3 linked regions of the Ovis aries genome follow. The protein of the gene in region 2 interacts with the protein of the main gene of each other region in a pairwise test. Links are inferred from orthologs where the notes say so. Each region holds a gene or a part of one and is shown on either strand. Other genes may lie near its edges. The genes, in order: LRRC20, E3 SUMO-protein ligase ZBED1 and EFHC1.

The links.
Region 1: the proteins of E3 SUMO-protein ligase ZBED1 (region 2) and LRRC20 interact in binary tests that used the Homo sapiens proteins (3 or more experiments, as listed by UniProt). The two-hybrid records come from large-scale screens. The link is inferred for Ovis aries from reciprocal best matches to the Homo sapiens genes ZBED1 and LRRC20.
Region 3: the proteins of E3 SUMO-protein ligase ZBED1 (region 2) and EFHC1 interact in binary tests that used the Homo sapiens proteins (3 or more experiments, as listed by UniProt). The two-hybrid records come from large-scale screens. The link is inferred for Ovis aries from reciprocal best matches to the Homo sapiens genes ZBED1 and EFHC1.

The regions. Positions count from the first base shown.
Region 1 is NC_056078.1:25,782,614-25,786,937, reverse strand, and holds the start of LRRC20 (leucine-rich repeat-containing protein 20), read left to right. Parts: upstream 1-1,485; 5' UTR 1,486-1,574; intron 1,575-4,324.
Region 2 is NC_056080.1:6,131,455-6,135,599, reverse strand, and holds the start of E3 SUMO-protein ligase ZBED1, read right to left. Parts: upstream 2,806-4,145; 5' UTR 2,723-2,805; coding exon of another isoform or gene 2,614-2,722; intron 1,961-2,613; exon of another isoform or gene 881-1,960; intron 1-880. Other genes in the region: dehydrogenase/reductase SDR family member on chromosome X, read right to left, coding at 2,614-2,722.
Region 3 is NC_056073.1:24,531,136-24,534,674, forward strand, and holds part of EFHC1 (EF-hand domain-containing protein 1), read left to right. Parts: intron 1-1,776; coding exon 1,777-1,990; intron 1,991-2,322; coding exon 2,323-2,470; intron 2,471-3,539. UniProt on the Homo sapiens protein: Microtubule inner protein (MIP) part of the dynein-decorated doublet microtubules (DMTs) in cilia axoneme, which is required for motile cilia beating.

The sequences.
Region 1 (4,324 bases), on a different chromosome or scaffold from region 2:
GTTGGACACGACTGAAGCAACTTAGCAGCAGCAGCAGCAGCAGGTAGTTTAATACGAGAGAAACTTATTCTCACAGTTCTGGAAGCTAGAAGTCTGAAATCAAGGTGTCAGCAGAGTTGGTTCCTTTATGGAGGCACTGAGGGAACACCCGTTCCTTGCTTCTTCTTAGTTTCCGATCCTTGTCCACAATCCTTGGAATTTCTTGGCTTGTAGACACATCACTCTACCCTGCCTCCATCTTCACAAGGCCTTATGTGTCTATGTGTCTTTGTGTTTCTTCTCTTATAAGGACATCAGTCACGCCCTATGCCAGTATGATCTCATCTTAACCTGTTATACCTGCAATGACCTTATTTCCAAATCAGGTCACATTCTCAGGTACTGGGAGTTAAGAATTCAACATATATATATATATTGGTTGGGGGGAGATGCAATTTAACTGATAACACCCACCAAGACCCAGGTGAATGTGTATTCCTCGTCTAACTGCCCCAGTCCCCAGGGGGCAGAATTAAACATTATGTCTTCAGGGCTCCCACATATTTACACACACGCTTCTGTTTATTGGAGCGTTTGACTCATTGACCACCATTGCTGGTTGAGTTCAGGCCCTCATCTCTTTGGTCCTCCCCACAGTGCCTAGAAAAAAATATATGGGAAGGGACTTCCCTGGTGGGCCAGTGGTTAAGAATCTGTTTTGCAAGGCAGGGGAGGTGGGTTTGATGCCTGGTCTGGTAACTAAGATCCCACGTGTGGTGGGGCAACTACTGAGTCTGTGCCCCACGATGAAAGATCCTGCATGAGTCAAGGAAGATCCCTCCAGCCCCAATAAGACCTGATGCAGCCAGGTCTTGGTTTGCCTTAAAAAAAAAAAAAAAAAGGAATCTATGGGAAATCCTCTGTAAACTTAGGTCTATGAAGCAGCCACCCTTCCCTGAGCCATCATGCCTGGCACCCCACTAAACTTTTCATGTGTTAATCCTCACAATGACCTGTGAAGTAGATATTTATACATTTTAATTTCTATTTTATAGAGATGAACATTGGGATCTAGAGGGGAGAAGTAACTTAGCAGTAGCCAGAATTAATTGCCTCTAAAAACCTGAATGGGCGCCTTAAGGCATTACAAGAAAAGCTCCCTCGTCCCCATCTCCCTGATCTGGCTAGTTCAACTCTGCTCCCTTGAGAAAAACAAATCCGGACACTCAGTCATATTGATCCTGGAAACTGTTGCGCATTCGGTTCTATACTCCGGCCATCCAGAGCGTTTTTGCTCCAGAAGTCGAACACAAAGCGGACCCACCCTGCGGACGCGAGCGCGCGGGCCGCCTTTCCCGGCGCACCGCTGCCGGGCGCGGCGTGGGGAACGGCAGGCTGATTGGTTGCACAAGGCAGCCTACTCCCGCCTCGCGGCCCCTCCTGCCACAGCTATTGGCCAAGCGGCCGCGCGCTCAGAGCCCGCAGCCCCTCGAGCCCCTCCCGGCCGGCTTCAGCTAGCCGCTGTTGCATGGGGCGCCGCCGGCGGCCGAGGGAGCGTGACTGCGCTGCGCAGGGCGCTAGGAGGCATTGTCGCCGTAAGTGGAGCAGAGATCGACCCGGAATCGGGCACCACTTTCGTGCCCCGTAAAGTAAACGTAGTCTGAGGCTAAGCGCTGGAGGGGCTGGGGGAGAGAGGGAGAGAAATGTCCCTGTTTCTGGAGAGTACCCTCCCCTCCCCCAAGTCACCCGGTGGAAGGAGCATTGGTGCACCAGTGGCGACTTCTGCAGTGCCAAGGGGCCCGGCGCCAGGCCGGTTCTGGCTTGCAGACTGCGGCTAGACCGCAGCTGGCTCGGGGGAGCGGGCGCCGCGGTACCAGGAAATAGGGAGCCTGGGGAAGCCGTTCCAAGAGGGCCTCCGTTCTCCGTGGGAGGCGCCCCTGTTCGAAGAGGCTATTGTAAATTTCGTCCCTGAAGCCACACTTTCAGGATTTGCTTCCGCTCTGGGGAACTGCCTGTCCCAGAGCTGGCTTCTCGGCCTCGGGGAACGGCGGGAGTCCCCGGCCCTCGGCGATCACCAGCGTTCTACCCCTCTGCTGGCTTTATTCCTCCCAGTCCCCGCCTGCCGAGTGAGCGGAGGGCCGGCGGCGAGGAGCCATTGGCTGCGGGCGCCGGGGGGTGGGGAAGACGGTGAGGCGGGCCCCTAGAGCGAGGCTTGGGGACCCTGCCCTGGCCACCGCCCTCAGTCCTGGGAGGTGGCGGCCCGAGGATGCTTAGATTCCCATACAGAAGCGTGCAGCGGGCTCTGCGAACTCCGTGGCTCAAAACCAGGGCGGGCAGCCCGTCGCGTCCTCGCCCCTGCGGGCTTCTTCCCTTGGGTGGAGAAGTGGGTCAACTCTGTCCGGCCTCGAGTGGGCCTTCGGGGCTCCTTGGGTCCGATCCAGCCGAGTGCTTCTCACTTCTCCAGTGGCTCCTTAACTTGGCGAGGTCCAGAGGACCCGCTGCAGCCAGCGGTGGGGGGAGCTTCCACACATGGCGCAAGAGGCTCCAGTTGCCCTTCGGGGCGGCTGCCAGGCTCTAAAGTTCCCAAGTGACCACACCAGTAACTAAATATAGGAGCAGCTGGTGCGCACGGGGTGTTGCAGCAGCTCCTTTGCACAGATCTTGGGGCTTCAGATAAGGTAGAATTCTCATTGATGAGGGCGGGAGCCCTGTCGGAGGGCTGTAGTCAGTGTTTAAGCAAAAAATCATCTCTCCCCAAACCTGTATCCAGGTGAAACCAAGTTATAGATACAAGAGGGCTCTATTGCCAGCACTCTCAAAGCAGGACAACTTCCTTTCTGGCATTACATTTATTCTATCCTAACTTACCATCTGAAGTGGTTTTAAACACATATTAGTAATGTCTTAGTGAAGCACTTAGATGGGAAGTGCTTAACATTTTGCAGAGATTTCTCAAAAATTATGTATCATTTACTTCTCAAAACAACCCAGTGAGGAGGGTGGTATTTCCAGCTGACAACTGGGACTGCTCACAACAGTGATAATTTTCCAAAACTCTGGTTGGATTAGTTGCCTCTCCTCAAAAGACTCCTGTGGTTGCCTGCAGAGTTGTAGAATGGACTCCAGCCCCCTTCCCCAGGAATTGAGGGACAGACTGGCTGCCTCTCTTCCTCTTTCTCTTGTCATTTTGGGTCCCTCTGCTCACCCCCTGCCTCTGTTCCTTCTTCCCAACCATGCCCTGTGCCCTCATGGCAGAGGGCACACGGGCTCTTCAGGCTGGTGCCGTGACCTCCAGCATGTGGCTCATTCCGCCCTTCGTCGCTGAGTCTCTCTTATCTGATGGGTAGCTCATCCTGGCCCATGTTCTGTCTCTGCACCTCTACTCCTCCAGTGTGGGCCTTATAGAAGGGCCCAGGACACGTTTGTTGGATTAAACATTTCCTAGGAATAGTGCACACTCTGAGGAAAGAGGAGTTGGAGAGGGATGTTTTGCTGGGTCAGCAATAGTGTGAGTATGAGTCTGGACCTTGTGCTGAAGGGTCTCCAGGCTTTAGAGCACTTTCCTTGAAATTTTCTAAGGCTGCCCTCTGGTGCTTGGGACCCCAAGCCCAGAATTGACCTATGTGGGCTGATGGGTCCTATTTATCTCCTTTGGGACACTTTGATTTTCAGTTACCCCTTTCCCTGCCTGTGGGGTTGACCAGATGTCTTAAGGAGCCCAGAACTTGGGCCTGTGGGGTTGACTTGTCTTGGGACACTGTGGTTGGGGTCTGGTTCCAGGAGTGCTGCCTTGCACACTGATTGCTCCCACTGGTTAGCATGATCTTCTTTCATGGAACTGAATGAGAACGGGCAGCCAGGGTGGTGGTGCTGATACAGATTTTGGTTGACTCAAATTGCTTGTTTAGTCAGGGGCCCCTCACATCCTAGGGTGGCTCTGCCTAGGGGACTTCACACTTGGTGAAGAGTGGGCCCATACCTCTCTCCATCACTCATGTGTGACTCAGACAATTCTCTATTTTTCTTTAAAACAATTTAAAGCCAAAAAGAAAAGAAGTGCAGTTTGCTTTATTCCACCCACAGCCCCTCAACCCCTGGCCCAACCCCTTTTTCTGTCGGCTCCTGTTACATGCTCAATAAATTCTTGCTACTTTTTGGTCAAAGAGGTCCAGTGTTGGGTTGGTGCTGAAAGGAGCTCTCAGCGAAGTTGGGCAGCCTTGTAGGATCAGTTTTGGGGACACACTGTAGACTCTCATCATCTCAAGTTCGTTCTTCCTTCAGTTCTGCGGCCCTCTTACCCCATCTTGGGCCTTATATGCATGTGGTCTTGTCACCCTCCCATCTC
Region 2 (4,145 bases):
GGAATCTTTGCGACCCCAGGGACTGTACCGTCCATGGAATTCTCCAGGCCAGAATACTGGGGTGGGTAGCCTTTCCCTTCTCCAGCAGATCTTCCCAACCCAGGGATGGAACCCAGGTCTCCAGCTCTGCAGAAGGATTCTTTATCAGCTGAGCCACCAGGGAAGCCCCCCAAAGGCACTTTATTTGACAGTCAAACAGAGAGGCAGGGTCCTGCGGGCAAGCCACTGAGTACGATTATAATAATAAAGGGGCTCCCCTGGTGGCTCAGACAGCAAAGAATCTGCCTAGAATGCAGGAGACCTGGGTTCGATCCCTGGGTCAAGAAGATCCCCTGGAGAAGGGAATAGCAACCCACTCCAGTATTCTTGCCTGGAAAATCCCATGGGCAGAGGTGCCTGGTGGGCTACAGTCCATGAGGTCGTAAAGAGTCAGACAGGACTGAGCGACTTTCTTTTTTTTTCTTCTTTTTCTTTATAATAATAAAAACCGAGTCAAAGAAAATAGCTTCCAACATGGAGTCAGAATTGGTGACTTCCTCCCTGTAATATTTCCACATTAATTATTGTATACTGTGTGCACATTTATATAGGCCATACATACTGTTAAAAAAGAAAACATCTGATGTTTAAAGGCAAAAAACAGAACTCCCCTGGTGGTCCAATGGTTAAGACTTGGCCACTTCAATATCGGGTTCAATCCTGGGTGGGGTTGCTAAAATCCCTTATGACTCAGGGACCAAAAAACCAGAGAAACATAAAAACAGAAGCAACGCTGTAACGAATTCAATAAAGACGTTAGAAATGAAACAAAACAAAACAAAATCCCAGCTAGTCTGCATCTGAACTGGGCCTCTGGGTTACAGTTTATTTAGCTGCATACCTGGGCAAAGTTCAGTGTCTGGCCCGCCAGGATCCTCTGTCTGTGGGATTGTCCAGGCAAGAATACTGGAGTGGGCGGCCATTCCCTTCTCCACGGAATCTTCCCCACTGGGATCGAATCCTGGTCTCCCGCCTTGCAGGCAGACTGTTCGCTGTCTGAGCCCCCAGGGAAGCCCGCAACCTCCCCTGGGTGCTCTGCAACTTAGGGGCAGTGTGGGGCAAACATGGGACTGCTCTTCAGAGCCCTTCACTGTTTACAAGTCAGCCCAGGTGCCAAAGCTGCACTCTGCCTTCCACTCTGCCTTCCTCTGCAGTCTTTTCCAGTCATGCTCCGTGTGCTTTTTAAAAAACAGCACCAAAATGCAGTTTATCAGAAAACTAATCGCTTAGCTCAACATAAACCTGCGAGATGTATCTCCCCGGGTGAAGACCCAGGGAGGGTAGGAAAAAAAGTGCTCAGAGCTGCAGGTGTGCAAGGCCTGGGCCCTGCTGGGCCTTCCTGCAGGTGGAGGCACGGGAAGGCATTTGCACAAGCATAGTAACAGCCTTTCTGTTTTTCCACCCCAATCTCCCGGGGGTGGCCAGGGTGGTCAGGGGCGTTACCCACAGGCTGCCGGGTTGGGGGGGAGGGCGGTGTGGGCTATGCCAACACCCTTGAAAACCCAGTTGGACTTAAGAATCTCTGTCTCCTCTTACCCCAGATAATAAAGAGAGTCATTACAAGGTAACGGGACACCGCGCTTCCCAGAGAATACTTTGTTTCCAAAAGTAGCTGTTTTTCTCCTAAAAAAATTGACATGTCATTTACGGCACACAGACCCTAGAGTTATTTTGACACTCTGCAAGTCAAGAACAGACAGAAACACCGGTTTCCTCGATCGAAGTCCTGAGAACACCGAGGTGACCAGACAGACGGAGACTCCCTCCCAGATTGGTGGGGAAGGGAGGTGGGGGGGGGGTCCCTAATATGCGTGAAGACGCGAATGGGTCCCCGCACCGCCAAGATTGGGCCCCGAGGCTCCGCGCAGGTGGCGCAGGCCAGAGAAACCGGCGGCCACTAAACTGAAGCTCCCCTCTCCAGGGCTCCTAGACCCCCTAGAAGCCGCCTCCAGCCCCTTGGCGCGCCCCCCAACACCGCCCCAGCCCCCCAGTCCCTGCAAACCCGGGCAGGCCCCGTCCTACTGGAGCCCGCGCGGGGCCGGGATCTCGCCCCCCCGCCCCCGCCTCCCTCCGGGATGCGGGTCTGCAGAGCGCAGGGACCCCGGGGTGGGGTGGGGGGGCTCCCGCCGTGGTTGGGGCGCGCACGGATCCCCTGGAGAGACCCCAGCCCCCGGGGCGCTGGGGAGGGCGCGCCTTCCCCCAAGCCGACCCCCGCAGGCCGCCCGGCCCGGCTTCCGGGAGCGCCCGACGCGGCGCGCACGAACCTGCGACCCCCGGGCCAGGGCGCGCGGGACCCCCTGGCTACCCCGGCCCCCGGGGCGCGCGCGGAGCGGGCGGGGCGGCGGGGAGGGCGCGCCTCCTCCCCCCGCCGGGCCGCCCGGGCCTGCTTCCGGGAGCGCCCGACGCGCCCGCCTCCCCGCGCCCCTTCCCAGCTCCGCCCCGAACCTGGGGGTCCTCTGCACGGGCGGAGGGCGCGCCCCGGGCCCGGCGACGCGGGCCCCCGCCAGCCCCCTGCCGCAGCCCCGCCCGCGCCGCGCGGCCCCGGCCCCTCGCCGCCGCTCCCCGGCCGCTGACCTGGCTCCACGAAGCCCCGCACGCAGCGACGCAGCAGCTGCGCCACGACCAGCGCCGCGCCCACCGCGTACACCCGCAGGGCCGCCCGCGCCGCGGACAAAGGCGACATGGCTGCCCCGCCGCCGCCGCCGCCGCCGCCGCCGCCGCCGCCGCTTCCGCGCCGCCGGCCGGACTCGGAGCCCCGGGCCCGACGGCGGAAACGCGCCCGCGCCGGCCCGCCCCGCGCCGCGCCCACGCCCCGCCCCGCGCGCGCGCGCCCCCGACTCCCGCCCCGCGCGCGCCCCCGCCTCCCGCCCCGCGCGCGCCCGCGCCCCCGCGCGCCCCCGACTCCCGCCCTTCGCGCGGCCCCGCCCTGCGCGCACCCCCGACTCCCGCCCCGAGCGCGCCCCCGCCCTGCGCGCACCCCCGACTCCCGCCCCGAGCGTGCCCACGCCCCCGCGCGCCCCCGACTCCCGCCCCGCGCGCGCCCCCGACTCCCGCCCCGCGCGCGCCCCCGCCCTGCGCGCACCCCCGACTCCCGCCCCGAGCGTGCCCACGCCCCCGCGCGCCCCCGACTCCCGCGCCCCCGCTCCCCGCGCGTCCCCGACCCTCCCGAGCGCGCCCCCGCCCTGCGCGCGCGCCCGACTCCCGCCCCGAGCGCGCCCACGCCCGCGCGCGCCCCCGCCCCGCGCGCGCCCCCGACTCCCGCCCCGAGCGCGCCCACGCCCCCCCCCGCGCGCCCCGGACTCCCGCCCCGAGCGCATCCCCGCCCTGCGCGCGCCCCCGACTCCCGCCCCGAGCGCGCCCACGCCCCCACGCGTCCCCGACTCTCCAGAGCGCGCCCCCGCCCTGCGCACGCCCACGGCCCGCCCCCCCGCGCGCGCCCACGCTCCCCGCCCTGAGCGCGCCCCCGACTCCCCAGCGCGCCCCCGCCCCTGCTCGCGCCCTGAGTCCCGCGCGCGCCCCGACTCCAGCCCCGCGCGCGCGCCCCCGGCTCTCCCGTGCTCCCCAGCCCCTCCTGCACGCGCCCCCGTCTCGCGCGCGCGCCCCCGACTCCCACCCCCCCTGCCGAGTGCGCCCGCGCCCCAGCCTCGCCTGCCCGCGCCCCCGACTCCCGCCCCCCGCGCGCCCCCGCCCCGCGCGCAACCCCGACTCCCGCCCCGAGCAAGCCCCCGCCCCCACGCGTCCCCGACTCCCCAGAGCGCGCCCCCAACTCCCGCCCCGAGCGCGCCCCCGCTCCACTGCGCACGCCCCTGATTCCCACCTCGCGCGCGTCCCGGACTCTCCACGCGCGCCCCCGACTCCCGCCCGGCGCGCGCCCCCGCCCCGCGCGCGCCCCCGCCCTGCGCGCGCCCCCGACTCCCGCCCCGAGCGCGCCCCCGACTCCCGCCCCGAGCGCATCCCCGCCCTGCGCGCGCCCCCAACTCCCGCCCCGAGCGCGCCCACGCCCCCACGCGTCCCCGACTCTCCAGAGCGCGCCCCCGCCCTGCGCGCGCCCCCGACTCCCAGAGCGCGCCCACGCCCCAGCGCGCCCCCGACTCCTGCCCCGCGCT
Region 3 (3,539 bases), on a different chromosome or scaffold from region 2:
GTGGCTAAGAGGTTTGGAAAGAGACAAATTTAGATCCTGAATGTTCCACTCAGTGGCTGAATTGCCTGAAGCAAATTACTGATAAGAATTCAAAGGGTAATGTCTTTAAAAATAGAAGAAAAAAAAAAACAGAAATAGAAATATAAGTGTTTTATTTAGACATAAATAGCAGAAATTGACATGTTACTCTGGCAATAGAAATGTGTTTGAAAAATGAGAACATAGTTAACTGATATATTTTTTGAAATGTTGAACAAAGCTTTGAAACGAGAGTTCTAGTAAATTCTAGGCCAATTAGAACACTCCACACTGAGAATTCTGGTAGGGCAGAAACCAACACAACATTGTAAAGCAATTTTCCTCTGATTAAAAAATAAAAGAAAAGAATTCTGATTAATGAAGGTTTTGCATTGTTGGCTAAGTTCTTTGAGTTACTATTAAAGTTCAAGAGGTTTGTTGAATTATAACATAGTAATTGTGAATTCCTTGAGGGCAGGGGTAGTGTCTCTTTAGACTTTGTAGGCACTCGATAATTATTGGTTGAGTTGGTAAATGAATTTATTTACACATACACTGTCCATGAGTCAGGCAAAATAATGTTATACTCATTTTATGTTTTGAAATATAAGAATCAGAGAGGTTAATGGTGTGTCCCAGGTCTTAGTGCTTAGACAGAGGCAGAACTGGAACTCAACCTAATGAAAACTCTTAAGTTGAAAAGATACATGCACCCCAGTGTTCATAGCAGTACTGTTTAAAATAGCCAAGACATGGGAGCAACCTAAATGTCCATCAACAGAGGAATGGATATAAAGAAGCTGTGTGGAAGTGTGTGTGTGTGTGTGTGTGTGTGTGTGTGTGTGTGTAAGGGAATATTACTCAGCCATAAGAAAACTGGAATAATTTGCAGCAACATGGATTGACCTAGAGATTATCATATAGTAGAATTTCAGTGAACAAGCCTGGAAGAAAAGAATGAGGTAGAAAATTAGCATTATGCACACACCACAGTAAACTTGTTGCTGACCAGATCCATCAACAGATGCTAAAATTAGTGGGAAACCCTTTGGGGAAAAACACGATTTCCATAGCTTGCAAGCATCTCCCTCAAAATATTTATTAACTGCAAAGGGAAAGATGGTGACTTCCTAGGAGAGAAACCTACCAGGCATCTTCTTAACCAAGTGATCAAGATCAGCGTCACCAATAAAAAGACGTTTTGACATCATGGACTCCTTTGATACACACAGAAAAGGATCTGCATAAATTTTCCTCTCCTTTAAAATTTTCTTTTTAAAATTATGTATAGAAATGGATTTGTGTAAAGGCATAGACTTTGCATAGTTACTTTAGTGTCCTTGAAGCTGAACATAATGTCAGCTGAGAGGTTTCAGACTAGCCACCTTTGGGTAGAATATAGCCCATATGTTATCTCTGGCCTGCCTGGTGCTTTTAAAGAGTTGAAGTCAACATGTTAAAGTCAGGGATTTAATATAGTAATCCATATTTCTATCTTCTCATGAAAAATTGGAAGATCTACTAACATTGGGCCTGCGTTCATTCCCACAGGCAACAGTCAACTGGTGTGAGTTGGGGGAGCTTCCCTTAGGTGAAATGTACCCTGTCCAGGCCTCCAGAGTCCCCCTATACTGTTCATTCATGTTATATTCCATATGTTAGGCTTATATTGTAGCCTAGTCCCTGTAGGTATTTTAGTTGGCGGCATCTGCATAGATCGTGTATCTTCATAATGTCCTCTTTTCTTCACCTTTCCAGGAATCCCCCATCCCAGAAGACAAAGACCGCCAGTTTGTCTTGTCTTATTTTCTGGCCACTGACATGATCAGTATCTTTGAGCCTCCTGTTCGCAATTCTGGTATCATTGGGGGCAAGTATCTCGGCAAAACTAAAGTTATCAAACCAGATTCCTCGGTGGAAAACCCTGTATACTATGGCCCCAGTGACTTCTTCATTGGTGCTGTGATTGACGGTAGGTCTCAGCAGAGTTCAGGCTTTCCTACTGGCTTTATTGGGGATTTAACTGAGTGAACACTTGTATAAGGCATTAGTCTGCAGTCCAGAAGTACATGTGGTTCAATGTCTTAATATCCTCCTTTATCAATTAAACTGTAAATTGGTTGCATTTGTTGGCTGTAGATGGAGACTCGGAGCTCCCTAAGCACTGAGCAAACTAGTGCATATTAGTTTGGAGAGATATTTAAGGTTCATTAGTCTAGGTCATAAATACATGTCTGTGAATTTTTACTCTTGGTTGCCTGATAAAAACATAACCAGGCTAATGTATTTCTACCTTCTCCCCAGTGTTTGGCCACCGGTTCGTCATCCTTGATACAGACGACTACGTTTTGAAATACATGGAGAGCAACGCTGCCCAGTATTCACCAGAAGCACTCCTGTCGATTCAGAACCGCATTCAAAAGCAAGAGGCTCCCGCACCAGAATTGGATGGGTATGTCTGACCATCTGAGATCCATTTTGGCTTTGGCACAATGAGATATTCAGCAAACAGTTCTTAACAAAATGAATGGGTAATCACATTTTAGCTTTTCAGGTTTCCCTCACCAATGGAAATTCTTATACACGGGTGGTGGTTGTTTAGTTACTAAGTCGTGTCCTACTCTTTTGTGTCCCCATTTCCTTCTCCAGGGGATCTTCCTGACCCAGAGATAGAACCCATGTTTCCTGCTTGGCAGGTGGTTTACACAGGTTACCTGAGTCTAATATAGTAACTTGGGTTTCCTTGGTGCCTCAGTGGTAAAGCATCTGCCTGCCAATGCAGGAGACACCAGTTCAGTTCCTGGGTTGGGAAGATCCCCTGGAGAAGGAAAAGGCAACCCACTCCAGTATTAATGCCTGGAAAATCTCATGGACAGAGGAGCCTGGTGGGCTGCAGTCTATTTTGGGTCTCAAAGAGTCAGACATGACTTAGTGACTAAAAACAATGATTAAGACAGTGGCTATAGCAGAGATGAGAGGAGGAGGAGGTAAGGATGATGAATGTTTCTGACCTGAGCATCTGGAAAGGAGGAGTTGCCACCAGCTGGGATGGAGACGTATATTGTAGGTAGAGGAGGATTTTTTGGAGGCGGTGGGGTGGTGGGGATGTTTCAGTGTTGGACATACTGGGGTTTAAGATACCTTTAGATATGCAAGTAGAGTGATCAAACAGGCGGTTGGACATATAAACCTAGAGTTCAGGTGAGAGCTGTGGGAGTTGTGGGCATATAAATGATATTTTAAGCCACGAGACTGGGTGAAATCTCTAAGGTAGCCATTATAGACAGAGAAGAAAAAATAGCTCCAAGGATTGCACTCTGGAGTCCTCCAGCAGTAAGAGTTGGAAGAGAAACCAGAGAACAGCTAGTGAGGCAGGAAGAAAGCTAGGCAGGTGTGGTGTCCTGGAATCCAGGTGGAGGATCCAGGCGTCCCCTTTTGCCCAGAAGTTTATAGTGGGATTATGAATGTGACCACACAGACAATCTTTGCACCACTGGGAAAATTCACTCTTGTTCTGCAGC